3 linked regions of the Ovis aries genome follow. The protein of the gene in region 3 interacts with the protein of the main gene of each other region in a biochemical or structural test. Links are inferred from orthologs where the notes say so. Each region holds a gene or a part of one and is shown on either strand. Other genes may lie near its edges.

Region 1 (4,215 bases), on a different chromosome or scaffold from region 3:
CTTAAACCGAGTTCTACACCTGTGGGCACTTGTAACTCACTGTATAAAAAAGTCTATACTGGGAGGGGACATATATACACCTACAGCTAAGGCTGATTCATATTGATGTTAAGAAACAAAATCCTATAAAGCACTTATCCTTCAATTAAAAAATAAAAAATCTATAAACGTTCTTCACAAATAGGTTCAGGAACAAACCCCAAATTTGAGTTCTAGAATTAAATTTCCTTTCCTCAACAGATACGGGGAGGCAGGGAAGCCGCCTTTTAGTCACAGGCCCACACTGCAAAAATGTTGTCATAGCATTTTTAAAAAGCTTCTAGAGGACTGTTTACATGCTTTGTAGAATTATTCTTGTAAATACTGCTTTTGCTATCAAGTAAAACTTGAAATCAGCTAATCTTAAAAGCTTGGTACTCAATTTAGGTTTTTGACACTTAGTTGAATAAACAAGTTTATTTGTAAATTTAGTCAACATACATAATTGACCTAGAAACTTCCAATAGAAGGATAAATTTTAAAACCACTTGGAAAGCCATCTCTATGAAGTGATTTTCCCAGAACCTATGCCACATGAACACCATTTAAACTGGCAGAGGTTCAATAAGCTGAAGCTGTGTCCCTCCCCAACAGCAAGTTTACCCTAACAGTTATTATAATACAAACCCCACAAGGAAAAAGTTCGGTATTGTTCCTCCTTGGTAGAGAAAAGTTCAACCTAGTTATGAGACCAATCACAACACAAAGAAAAGCTGCACTAACTACTATATTAGTAACAGATGATGCTGGTGTGAGTAACTTGTATTATAGTCTAGAGCCCTTATAAATAAATCCCCCTCCCCGTTAGTGTTTGCATTATCAGCTAGAAGGTTAGTTTAACATGTGGTAGAATGAGGACTTATGCAAGGTATAACGCGAAAAGCATTTTACTACGTAAACAAGTGCAGTCTACTCAGGAGAAAACCAATCGAACTCTAAATTACACACCTTAAAGACAACACTCCCCACCACATGTCAATGTAAAACATTTAATTTAAAAATGTTGACACTACAATATATAAAATAGCTATTATAAATGCACATAGTGTATTCTATAGCTGCCAGGTTTACTTTTTTTTTTTTAAGGAAACTGTAAGTTACACTGTGGTTAAGACTTGTATCTTCACCCTTGAAAAAGCCCACATTCTATCACAGTGATGTATGGTTAGACTTAACAGCCCCAATTGTTAAACACTTGGATCAAGTCATAACCAGTTTTATTGCAAAAGGACCCTGTACACATTTATCAATTCTAGTACCTTAATAGCTACCCAACAAGTCATTAACATACAGAAACATGCATCATGAGAAGCAAGAAATATCACCCATCCCTTCTGCATATTAGCAACTTGTCACTCCTGAGCAACAGTGCTCACATCACTGAGGTCTGTGAACAGTCACTTTTCGCAGTCATCCTGAGTGAAAGATGGAATGACTTAAGTACAAATGCAACATATTATAAACAATTTCTTACAAAAAAAGTCACAAATTAAACCGAAGTATTTTACAGAATTTACTACAAAACACCATAAAAACTGCCTTCACTTAAGCTCTCTCTCCCCGTATCCGGCGAGCCAACTGGATGTCTTTGGGCATGATGGTGACTCTCTTAGCGTGGATGGCACACAGATTAGTATCTTCAAACAAACCCACCAGGTACGCTTCGCTAGCCTCCTGTGGAGGACAAGAGCCACACTATTAGACTCTCTCTGAGGGGGCCGCGCACCAGCCCTCCCCTCCGCCCAGCCGCACACAGCCCCCGCCAGCTCACCTGCAGCGCGCCGATGGCGGCACTCTGGAACCTCAAGTCAGTCTTGAAATCCTGGGCGATCTCCCTCACCAACCTCTGGAAAGGCAGTTTCCGGATCAGAAGCTCGGTGGATTTCTGGTAACGACGGATTTCTCGAAGCGCAACAGTCCCGGGCCTGGAGCGAGCAGGAGAGCGCAAAGGGACACCGGTTACGAAAGCGGCCGGCGAGCCGCGGGAAGCATCCCGCCCGCAGCGCCGCCGAGTCATCGTCTCCCTGTAGCGCTGCCTACCTGTAGCGATGAGGTTTTTTCACCCCGCCGGTAGAGGGGGCGCTTTTCCTGGCCGCTTTGGTGGCCAGCTGCTTGCGGGGCGCTTTCCCACCCGTTGACTTACGAGCAGTCTGCTTGGTTCGGGCCATTTTCTTTTACCTGTAGAAGACACCCGTGACTCCGGGGCCGAGGCACGCTCGCCTCTCGGGGTGCGGCGCCCCGGACACTCGGCGCCCCAGCCCTCCCGCCTCCTCGCGCCCCAAGGCGGACGGCAGATGGCCGAGGGCCGCCGCCTCCTCCCCCTCCCCTAATGACTCAGGCTGCGAGTAGCAGCAGCCTCCTGTGGGAGGGGGGGGCGCGGGGAGGAGTCACTTCCCCTCCTCGACGGGCGGAGGCCCGGCTGCCCGGAACCCAGCGTCGGGACCTCTGAATCACCAGCGGGAAAAAGGCGGAGACGCGGTTCCGGAACGAAACCCCAAGGGAAAACTACCCGCCCCCACAGCCGGCGCCAACAGCCAGAGTAGCCCGCACCAGTCGGCACTTGGCTCTCAACGGCCTCGACCCGCGATATCAACGGCTGGCCAAGCCTGAAGTCACAGATAAAACCCATGAACACTTACTTAATGCCGAAGTTTTAGGCCGCTTCTCCGACCACCGCGCCGCCGCTGCTGCCCAAAGAGCCGCAGTAGCTGAAACACTGCACGAACCCTCCCCAACGAACGACCAAACCGCTCTGCGCGCTAAGCCCCCCTATACCTCGGTTTTTATACCCACGCTTCACGCTGCGTCTCTGCGTCATAGGACCCTAATTTGCATACACCAATGACTTTTTCTATTGGCTGACGCTTTCGCCGACGCGCTGACATCCCCCGACACAAAGGCCGTGCTTCGGCCCCGTTCCCTGATTGGCGGACATCTAGACCACTGATTGGCTGTTAAAGTGGCCTAACGATTGGATGAATGCAAAGAAGAATGGACGAATCAGAGTTTAGCACCAAGCCGCTCTTCTGATTGGATAAAATGGAGCTATGTTTGGATCCTTCCCTTGGTTCCAAAGCTCTACAATAGAAAGTCAATGCAAATGAATTGCACTGGTCCTTATCAGGACTGGTCCTTAATCTGGACAGACCGGAGGGCAAGGGGCCTAACGTTATTTGCATCAAGCTAATACCATGAAGGAGACGGTATTTTCATGAAAATTTTGTAAATATTTTCCAATGTAAAATAAAATGCATTCCCTGTGATTGCTTACTTTTCATGAACATTTTGATAGGTAGTAGTGTAAATGAAAATTAGAATTCAGTAAATCATGTTATCAAGTATTTTATCTATGAGGCATATACATTTTAACCAAAATACAGTTCTTTTGTTTGGTGGGGTGGGGAGAGGTAAATAACAAATAAATAAAAAAGAAACAAATGTCAATAAATTATTTTATTTATAAGGACTGTTTTTTATGTCCTTAGACCACCACAAAACACTGATTTCAATATGCTTACAGTTAAGGAGTAACTTACTAGGCAACATATTTTTTTAAATTCTGTAATTCAACTGAACAAAATCACTACAGCCAGAATGGGAATAGTCAATTCTAAACCAGTATTTGCAAGTATAAACCTAAAGTATAAACAAAAGACTGCTGCTGCTAAGTCACTTCAGTCGTGTCTGACTCTGTGCAACCCCATAGATGGCAGCCCACCTGTCCCTGGGATTCTCCAGGCAAGAACAAAAGACAACTAAATTAAATACGGTCCCTTGTATTTAACGGTCTATCCTTGAATATATTACTTCTGAAGAAACATAAAAATGGTAATCCCTGGAGAAGGAAATGGCAACCCACTCCAGTATTCTTGCCTGGAGAATCCCATGGACAGAGGAGCCTGGCAGGCTACAGTCCATAGGGTTGCAAGAGTCAGAGGCAACTTAAGAGACTAAACCACCAGAGAAAGACTACCCTCAATTTGGCAGCAAGTGACAACTGTCCTTAAGATTTTTTTTTCCCCTCCCTGATAGAAAAAGAAAACACTTGGAAAATGAAAATAATAAATTTTCTATTCAAATGTAAAAAAATAATGGTAATCCCTACCTTTGTCTACATGTCTTGAGTGGATTTTAATACTTAGTTCTTCAGATGATTCAGTTATATAAAATATCAAA
Region 2 (4,259 bases), on a different chromosome or scaffold from region 3:
GCAGACAAGATGTTTCTTCTGGAAGAGGCCCAAGGCACTCAAGGGGAGAAGCGAAATCATGTGGAAGAGCTGACCACCAGCCATTGAGCCTGAAGCAGGTGGGCCTGGCCTTTAAGAGTCTGACCACGACAGGGCACCCCGCCCTAGGAAGCCCCTGCCCCCACCTGCCCCTTCCACCAGGTTGGGGACATCCGGAAGCCGCCTGTGCACGCGCAGCCTGGGGCACACCTCTTGAGCTGCCATATGTTCAGGACTCGGATTTCTCAGCAGCTGCCACTACCCAGGAGCCTGCCCTTGACACTGGGCGGAGGTGGGGGGAGCGGAATGAGCGGGGCGCAAACATTCAGGAAGAAGCCCCAAGCACTACACAGATCACTTCCTGCCTGGCTTTATCTTGACCCGCCTGCCCCTCAGATCTGTGTTTATAAACAGCGCCAGGCCCACAACAGCTTCCAGAGCCTCAGTTCTGGGCCCCTCAGGAGCCGCATGGAGAAACAGCGGCCTGGATACAACAGTCACACTCAACTGAACAGGGGCTCCTCACTGCAGGAACTCAGAACTCAGCGCATATGGCTACACACCCTCTAGGGGAGTGCCCAGTCCAACCCTTCCCCGCAACCCCTCTCAGGGGCCTCAGGTGAAGAGTCTCAGATTTCCAAGTGTATGAATAAGTCCCCCTTGCTCTCCTCTCAGATCAGCCCATTTTGCATCCATCCCAAAAGATAAGTCTCTGGTTATCACTATGAAAGGTTTAAGAAAGTGTCTCAAAGAGGGGGTTATTTCAATGACATGTAAAGCACTCCATGGGGACAGCAAGGTGCTGAAGAAGCAGGAAGGTTCCAGAGGATCAGAGAAGGCTGGGTGGCAGTTCTGAGACCCCCTAGGACAGAGGCTCATGGTTTAGAGAACTTGATAAAGGATCAATCTGATCTAATTGGGGAGGGGGCCCCAGTCATGGAAGGGTCAAGTAGAGTTCATCAGATCATATTTCAAGGCCCTAGATGGTATAATAGTTCAGACCCTACTCTCTGGCTGGAGTGGCAGGCCTGCATCTAGAGCCACAGGCCCACAGTGCCCTGAGGAAGTTAAATTTCAGGGCTCCAGGGGACTTCAGGCCATAGGATGCCACCTTGGGCTGGCAGGGTTCGGACCCCTGCATCTCTAGGGCAACTCTCAATTTCTCAAAACAGAGCGGTGGCCGCATGTGTGATGCAGGTATAGGTGGAGGGCACTCAGGGGTGAAGGGAGAGTAATACTGGATAATCACAGAACCATGAGGGCTGTATTTCAGATCCCCGTGGGAAGCAAAGGGAGACGGAGGGAGAGGGAGGAGCGAGAGAGAGAAAACATTTACAGGTCAGGACCCCTGGGAGGAAAGATCAGCGGGGGAGGGGGCGGGGCCTGTCTTGCTAGGTCCCTTCCCCACCTCCGAAAGATGAGCGGCCTTGAGTAAACTTCTCAGGCAAGAACCTAGCCTAGTCAGGGGCAAGGGTTCTGGAGCCTCACCTCACAGGGGCCTCTGACAGTAGATACTTCCCTGGGAGAGAGATGCACCCAGCTTAGTGCCAAGACGGTTAAAAGGGGCCTCAAGCTAGAAGGAGTAACATCCTTGGGATGTAGAATGTGGACCCCAGACAGCAATGCAGGGGAGACAGACTAGGAACCATTTTAAAGAACCTTGCAATCAACTGGGGACATTCCAAGGATCAACGTAAGAGACCCGCAGAAAGAGCAGGGCCTCAGACGCCAGAGCTGGGCTGTCTAAACAGATCTAAAGAGAGGCTGTGTGCGGAGTGTGGTCTGAGCAGTAGACTCGTGATGGCCTGAGTATAAGGGAAGCAGCTGGGGTTGGAAACGGGGTCTGATCCTCCGAGTGTGGAGTCTAGGGCTCCCAGGAGCAGAGTTCACAGCTGCACAAATGCTGTCGGGAGGAGAAAGAGTGAGAAGGAACGCAAAACCCAGGACCTGTGACTGAGAGAAAAGAGTTAGGAAGGAGCTGACACCAGGACCAAGGCTCCATCACACCGGGAAGGCAAGCTCAGGAAGGCAAGCTCAGTTAACACCGCGCTCACTCCGGGGTGAGAAGGGTGTCAGGAGGGGGCGGGGCTCTGGGACCAGAGCGGGAGCTGAATAAGGGCTCTAAACCCCAGCCTGGGGTACAGACCCTCAAGAGACACCCTGTGTTTGGGGGCGGTTCAGGATCCCCAGCTCATCACCCGTGGCAGAAAACTCAGAGGACCCTTCCGAGCAGAGAGCCGCCAAGCGCAGCCTGATCAGCTGGGCGAGGAGACTTGAGACCCAGATGCCAGCCCACTATACCATGGGAAGCGGTGAGAGGCGGACACTCCCCCAAGCCAAAGAGCGCCGACCTCGAGGAAGGGACGAGCAGCCCAACCCGTCACGCTGTCCGGGGGGAATGTGCCTCAAGCTGGAGGCGCGGCCCTGTGCCTGCGTTCAGCGCGATCTGGACCCTAGTCGCTAGGGTTGGAGAGGGGAGGACCCAACCTCACGCCTGGGGGGGCCGAACCCCCTGCTCGGAGACTGGGGTGAGGTTTTGGGGGCCCCGCCCCCGGCCTCCCGCGCCCCGCCCGCAACCGGAGCCCCCAGGCCAGGGACGGGCGAGGGGGCAGGACGCCGAGCCGCAGGCGGGCCGCGCCGTGGGGCCCCGAGCGGAAGGCACAGACCTCGGGCTGCCGCCCGACCCCCGTCCCCCGCCCGCCCTGGCCGGCGCCGCCGCCGCTCACTCACTTTGGCCTCCACCAGTTCCGCCGCCATCTTGGCCACCAGCGTCCCCCGCGCCGGGAGCCCCCAGCCGTCGCGTCACGTGATCGCCTTCCATTCGCGGGCGGGGCCCGCGCCGCGGCCAATTATCACCCTCGCGCCCTCCTCCCCTCTGGCGCGCGCGACCGCGCACTGCGCAAGCGCGCGCGGCACCGCCCGGGCCTCCGGCCAATCAGGGCTGCCCGACTACGCACCCACCCTCCCCGTTTCACTCACTGTGACCACGCCCACCCCTGGCCGTGTCTGGTTTCTTAAAGGGGTACAAGGCCGGCACAGGTTGGGGCGGATACTGGGTCCTGTCTGACGAGAGAGTAGACAGTTGAGGCGACAACAATGCAGCCAGGTGTCGCGGTCTCCTGCGCGAGGCAGCCTCCAGGTGCGTGACCGGACGCCTCGCTGCCAGGAGGGAGAAAATGGTTGGCCCGCGCAGCGGCCGCCACTGCGTGCAGTGAGGCGCCGTGGAGCGCAGCGCGGTTCATTCTCAGCGGGCCGGGAGCCCCACGCGCTGTACATCCGGGTCCTGGGGTGGCTGAGAGGGCGAGGGCGCCACACCCCCTTGGTGCGCCGCCGGCGGAGAAATGCTGTACCCCCTACCCAATTCCCGCGGTGCAGGTGACCACCCTCCCGCCCACTTCCGCCTCTCCACCCACGGTAAACCTTTGGAATTTGCGCTAATCGGAAATTTACCAGCTTTAGAGCTCTCCGTGGCTCCCCAGTGTCGGTGAGCTGCTAAGCCCAAACTTTCTTGTGTCAAAGAAAGCAAGAGGATAAAAACGTATTTCGGGGCCCATCCCTTGAGAAAATGAAGCGCGCCAAATGACTCAGTTATCAAGTTACTAATTTTTATATAAAAATGCAGAAATAGCCATGATGAAGAAAATAATAAAATTTAAGAGAGTATCAGTTCAGCCCTCAGTCGTGTCTGACTCTTTGCGACCCTATGAATCGCAGCACGCCAGGCCTCCCTGTCCATCACCAACTCTCTGTCGTCCCCTTTTCCTCCTGCCCCCAATCCCTCCCAGCATCAGGGTCTTTTCCAATGAGTCAACTCTTCGCATGAGGTGGCCAAACTACTGGAGTTTCAGCTTTAGCATCACTCCTTCCAAAGAACACCCAGGACTGATCTCCTTTAGAATAGACTGGTTGGATCGCCTTGCATTCCAAGGGACTCTCAAGAGTCTTCTCCAGCACCACAGTTCAAAAGCATCAATTCTTCGGCGCTCAGCTTTCTTCACAGTCCAACTCTGACATCCATACATGACCACAGGAAAAACCATAGCCTTGACTAGACGGACCTTTGTTGGCAAAGTAATGTCTCTGCTTTTTAATATGCTATAAGAGGTTATACAACTTTGTATAAGTGACTTCCCTCGCCTCACCAGAACTGTAACTCAGCAGGGTTTTGTTTTACTTTTCTTACAGTTACTTTCTTTTTTTTTTTTTAAGGGTGTGAGAACTTCCCTAGGGGTCCAGTAGAT
Region 3 (3,511 bases):
GAGGAAGTAAAAGAAGCCAACGTCCGCGTCGTGTCTGAGGACTTCCTCCAGGACATCTCTGCCTCCACCAAGAGCCTTCAGGAGTTGCTCTCCACCCACCTCTTGTCCCCCTGGGGAGCCGAGGTGAAGGTGGAGCCTGTTGAAGCAGTGGCCCCAAGGGGGAAGTCGGGGACCGCGCCCTCCAAGAAAAGCAAGGGACCTGTCAAGGAGGAAGGTGAGGCCCTGAGCGGCCCCATCGGGTCCACCCATGCAGAGCTTCTCCCTTTGTGCCCCAGTGGTCTGATGAGTGCTGCCCCTACTAGCTTTCTCAGTTCGTCTTCCCTTGACACAGAATGGCAGCAGCTTCAGGTGGTGAAAGGCAACACACATATCCTGTGTTGACTCTGACACAGGCAAAGATGACTCACTTGCACTACCTGCCACCTTCCCCTTTCTGGTTTATTTTTAATGTTTGCATTTCTCTGTTTCCTTCCAAGGTACCAACAAATCTGAAAAGAGGATGAAATTAACTCTTAAAGGAGGAGCAGCCGTCGACCCTGATTCAGGTGAGGAAATGGGAGTAGAGTGGGCTGCCAGGTTCCCTGGTCCTGGGGAACCAGCTGGGTCCCCTCCCTCCCCCCACCATGGGGGCAGACTCTCAGGAGCTCTGTCCTGACAGGTCTGGAACACAACGCGCACGTCCTCGAGAAAGGTGGGAAGGTCTTCAGCGCCACCCTCGGGCTCGTGGACATCGTCAAAGGGACCAACTCCTATTACAAGCTGCAGCTTCTGGAGGATGACAAAGAGAGCAGGTGCGCCAGGGGGCGGGGAAGCGTCCAGAGGAGCGTGCTCCTGAGAGTAAGGCCCCTCGGAGCTGGGCTGTCCGCGCACCTGGGGACCAGCCACCTCTCGACGATCGTAGGTGTGCGGTGATGTCTTCAGTGAAGGAGGGAAGAGGCCGTGGGCCCTGGACAGCCTTGCTGTCCTTGGTCGTCCATGTCACCTCAGGCTCTTGGGTTACCGAAGGCGTTTGGGTTTGCTTCTTTATTTATTTTTTATTTTCAGTGTAATGAAGCCAGGTAAGAGCCGGTCCTAGCATGCTGAGAGACTGGGCTGGCTTGACTGCCCGTACTTACCTAGTCGAAGTGGTCCTCCGACATGCGGATGGGCCCCTGTTACAGCCACTGTGGAATGGGAGCTACGTGTAAGCGGGAGAAGTGTGTGAAAGGAACTCTTGCTAAACCCAAATAGCGGCAGAAAAGCACTTTGTATTTTGAACTTGACCTTTTCTTTTTAGCAAATGGAAACAGTTTACCCGTTGAAGTCCAAGAGATTCAAAAGAGCTTTACTAGTTGAAAGGCAGACCCCTGAGAGAATGTCAGCAATTGGCAAATCTCGGCAGCTGCAAGTTGTAGGCACTGGCAGGCTCAGGCTCTTCCCATTTCTTCAGCTTCTCACAAACCTGCCATTTAAAATGTGAACCTCGGGGACTTCCCTGGTGGTCCAGTCATTAAGACTCCATGTTTCAATCCCTGGTCGAGGAACTAAAATCACACAGGCCACACAGCACAACCAGAAATCAAAAGACTGCCAAGTCTATCCATATGAATGAAAGAAGGTTTTAAAATGTGAACCTCAAAGGGCACATAACATCTGTGTGGCAATTCAAAGTTTGTAAAGAAAATCCTATATCATTTAGTTTACTGCTGACTCTTGTTGGAGATTTGAAGATAGGGTTTCTTGCTTGTAAAACATAACTTCCAAAAGCTAGCTTTGTATTGGAGTGCAGGAGGAGGAATGGGGTTTTTGTAAAAACGCAGAGTGCTATAGTTCGTAAACCGCAGGCAATGAGAACAGAACTGTCTACTACCAACGCACAAGAAGTTATACTGGTGATTTCAAATGGGTGGCTTATCCTGGTGGCCTTGATTTATTGGTTTTTATAGGGAAATGCCATTATGGGCTGTTAGAAGATGACAAGTTAGGTCCATGTGGTATCTTCCAAACATTTCTAGAGGGGGAAAAAACCAGCAGAGAATGAACTTATATGCCTCTGGGCAGTAGCCCAGAAAACCAGCAGGAAGCACCAGCTTTTCTTTGAAATCTCTGATTTTACTGCTATATCTGTACTTACTGTGGTGTGAGATTTAACTTCTGTATGATTTTCACTAAGAAAAATGCACTCCCCCAAAGCTAGGCAGCCCTGCCCCTAGAGTACCTGGGACTTAGCTCTAGCTTGAGATGAAAACTGAGTATATTAGCCTAGGTCTGCAGGTGGCTGACCCTGTGGACCACTCCCCTGCCTCCTCCCATTTCATTGTATCTCAGCCTCTGATCTGAGTCAAAGGTTCTTCATTCCTTTTAGTACCTATCGTTAATGAATGCATAACTTCCGGGTAATACTTGCTGTGTTTATTTGGGAAAAGGAATGGGATGTTTTTATGTAAAGGCCTCTGGAGAAGGAAATGGCAACTCATTCCAGTATTCTTGCCTGGAGAATCCCATGGGCAGAGGAGCCTGGCTAGCTACGGTCCATGGGGTCGCAAGAGTCGGGCATGACTTAGTGACTAAACCACCGCCACCACCATGTAAAGGCCTCGATTTACTCCTCAAGTTCAGCTGCCAGATCCAAGGTTAAACTGTTCTTTGGTACTTTTTATAGCTCACTTGCCAGTATGATATGGAAGGGCATTTTAAAATTACTTTAAACTTAACAACTCTCAGTTTAATAGAAATTAAAATAAAAGTTGTTTAATACTGGTTCCTTTTGTTCCTCTTTGTCAGTTACCATCGTTTTGGGTTGTTTACAACTCTTTTCTCCCTCAAGGGAAATAGCAGGGAGAGGAAGCTCATCCTGAAATATGACCGGACGACCTGCAAAATTATATCTGATGCTCTTCTCCTCTTCCCACAGGTACTGGATATTCAGGTCCTGGGGCCGTGTGGGCACGGTGATTGGTAGTAACAAACTGGAGCAGATGCCATCCAAGGAGGATGCCATTGAGCATTTTATGAAATTATATGAAGAGAAAACCGGAAATGCCTGGCACTCTAAGAACTTTACAAAGCATCCCAAGAAGTTCTACCCTCTGGAGATTGACTATGGCCAGGTAATCATGCTCTGACACTTGCTAGTGCTAGGAAAAGGTTTTCTTTTAAAAACCTGCCATGGAAAAAAAAAAAAAAAACCTGCCATGAATCAGATGACATCATTGATGAATTCCACCAAGTATTTAAAGAATTAATACTGGTCCTTCGTAAACTCTTCCAAAAAACAGAAGAGAAAGGAACACTTTTCAACTCGTTATACAAGGCCAGTATTATCCTGATAACCAAAGACAGATAAAGACATCACAGGAAAACTACAGACCAATATAGTTATGGATATAAATGCAGCACCTTCGGTAAAATACTAACTGACTCTAGCAGCACACGAGGATTTAGGCGCCGTGATTGAGTAGGATTTTTCCCAGGAATGCAAGGTTGGGTCAACATGCAAAAATCAAATCAGCGTAGTGTAACATGAGCAGAA

Evidence for each region.
Region 1: the proteins of PARP1 (region 3) and histone H3.3A form a complex in vitro, tested with the Homo sapiens proteins (2 studies listed by BioGRID, with this or other methods). The link is inferred for Ovis aries from reciprocal best matches to the Homo sapiens genes PARP1 and H3-3A.
Region 2: of the proteins of PARP1 (region 3) and PIAS4, one has a biochemical effect on the other in vitro, tested with the Homo sapiens proteins (3 studies listed by BioGRID and IntAct, with this or other methods). The link is inferred for Ovis aries from reciprocal best matches to the Homo sapiens genes PARP1 and PIAS4.

What each region holds. Positions count from the first base shown.
Region 1 is NC_056064.1:55,163,194-55,167,408, reverse strand, and holds the start of histone H3.3A, read right to left. Parts: upstream 2,801-4,215; 5' UTR 2,679-2,800; intron 2,218-2,678; 5' UTR 2,208-2,217; coding exon 2,080-2,207; intron 1,965-2,079; coding exon 1,811-1,964; intron 1,714-1,810; coding exon 1,585-1,713; 3' UTR 1-1,584. UniProt on the Homo sapiens protein: Variant histone H3 which replaces conventional H3 in a wide range of nucleosomes in active genes. Constitutes the predominant form of histone H3 in non-dividing cells and is incorporated into chromatin independently of DNA synthesis.
Region 2 is NC_056058.1:17,802,347-17,806,605, forward strand, and holds the start of PIAS4 (E3 SUMO-protein ligase PIAS4), read right to left. Parts: upstream 2,801-4,259; 5' UTR 2,776-2,800; coding exon 2,749-2,775; intron 1-2,748.
Region 3 is NC_056065.1:28,672,605-28,676,115, reverse strand, and holds part of PARP1 (poly [ADP-ribose] polymerase 1), read left to right. Parts: coding exon 1-214; intron 215-476; coding exon 477-545; intron 546-658; coding exon 659-791; intron 792-2,893; coding exon 2,894-3,089; intron 3,090-3,511. UniProt on the Homo sapiens protein: Poly-ADP-ribosyltransferase that mediates poly-ADP-ribosylation of proteins and plays a key role in DNA repair.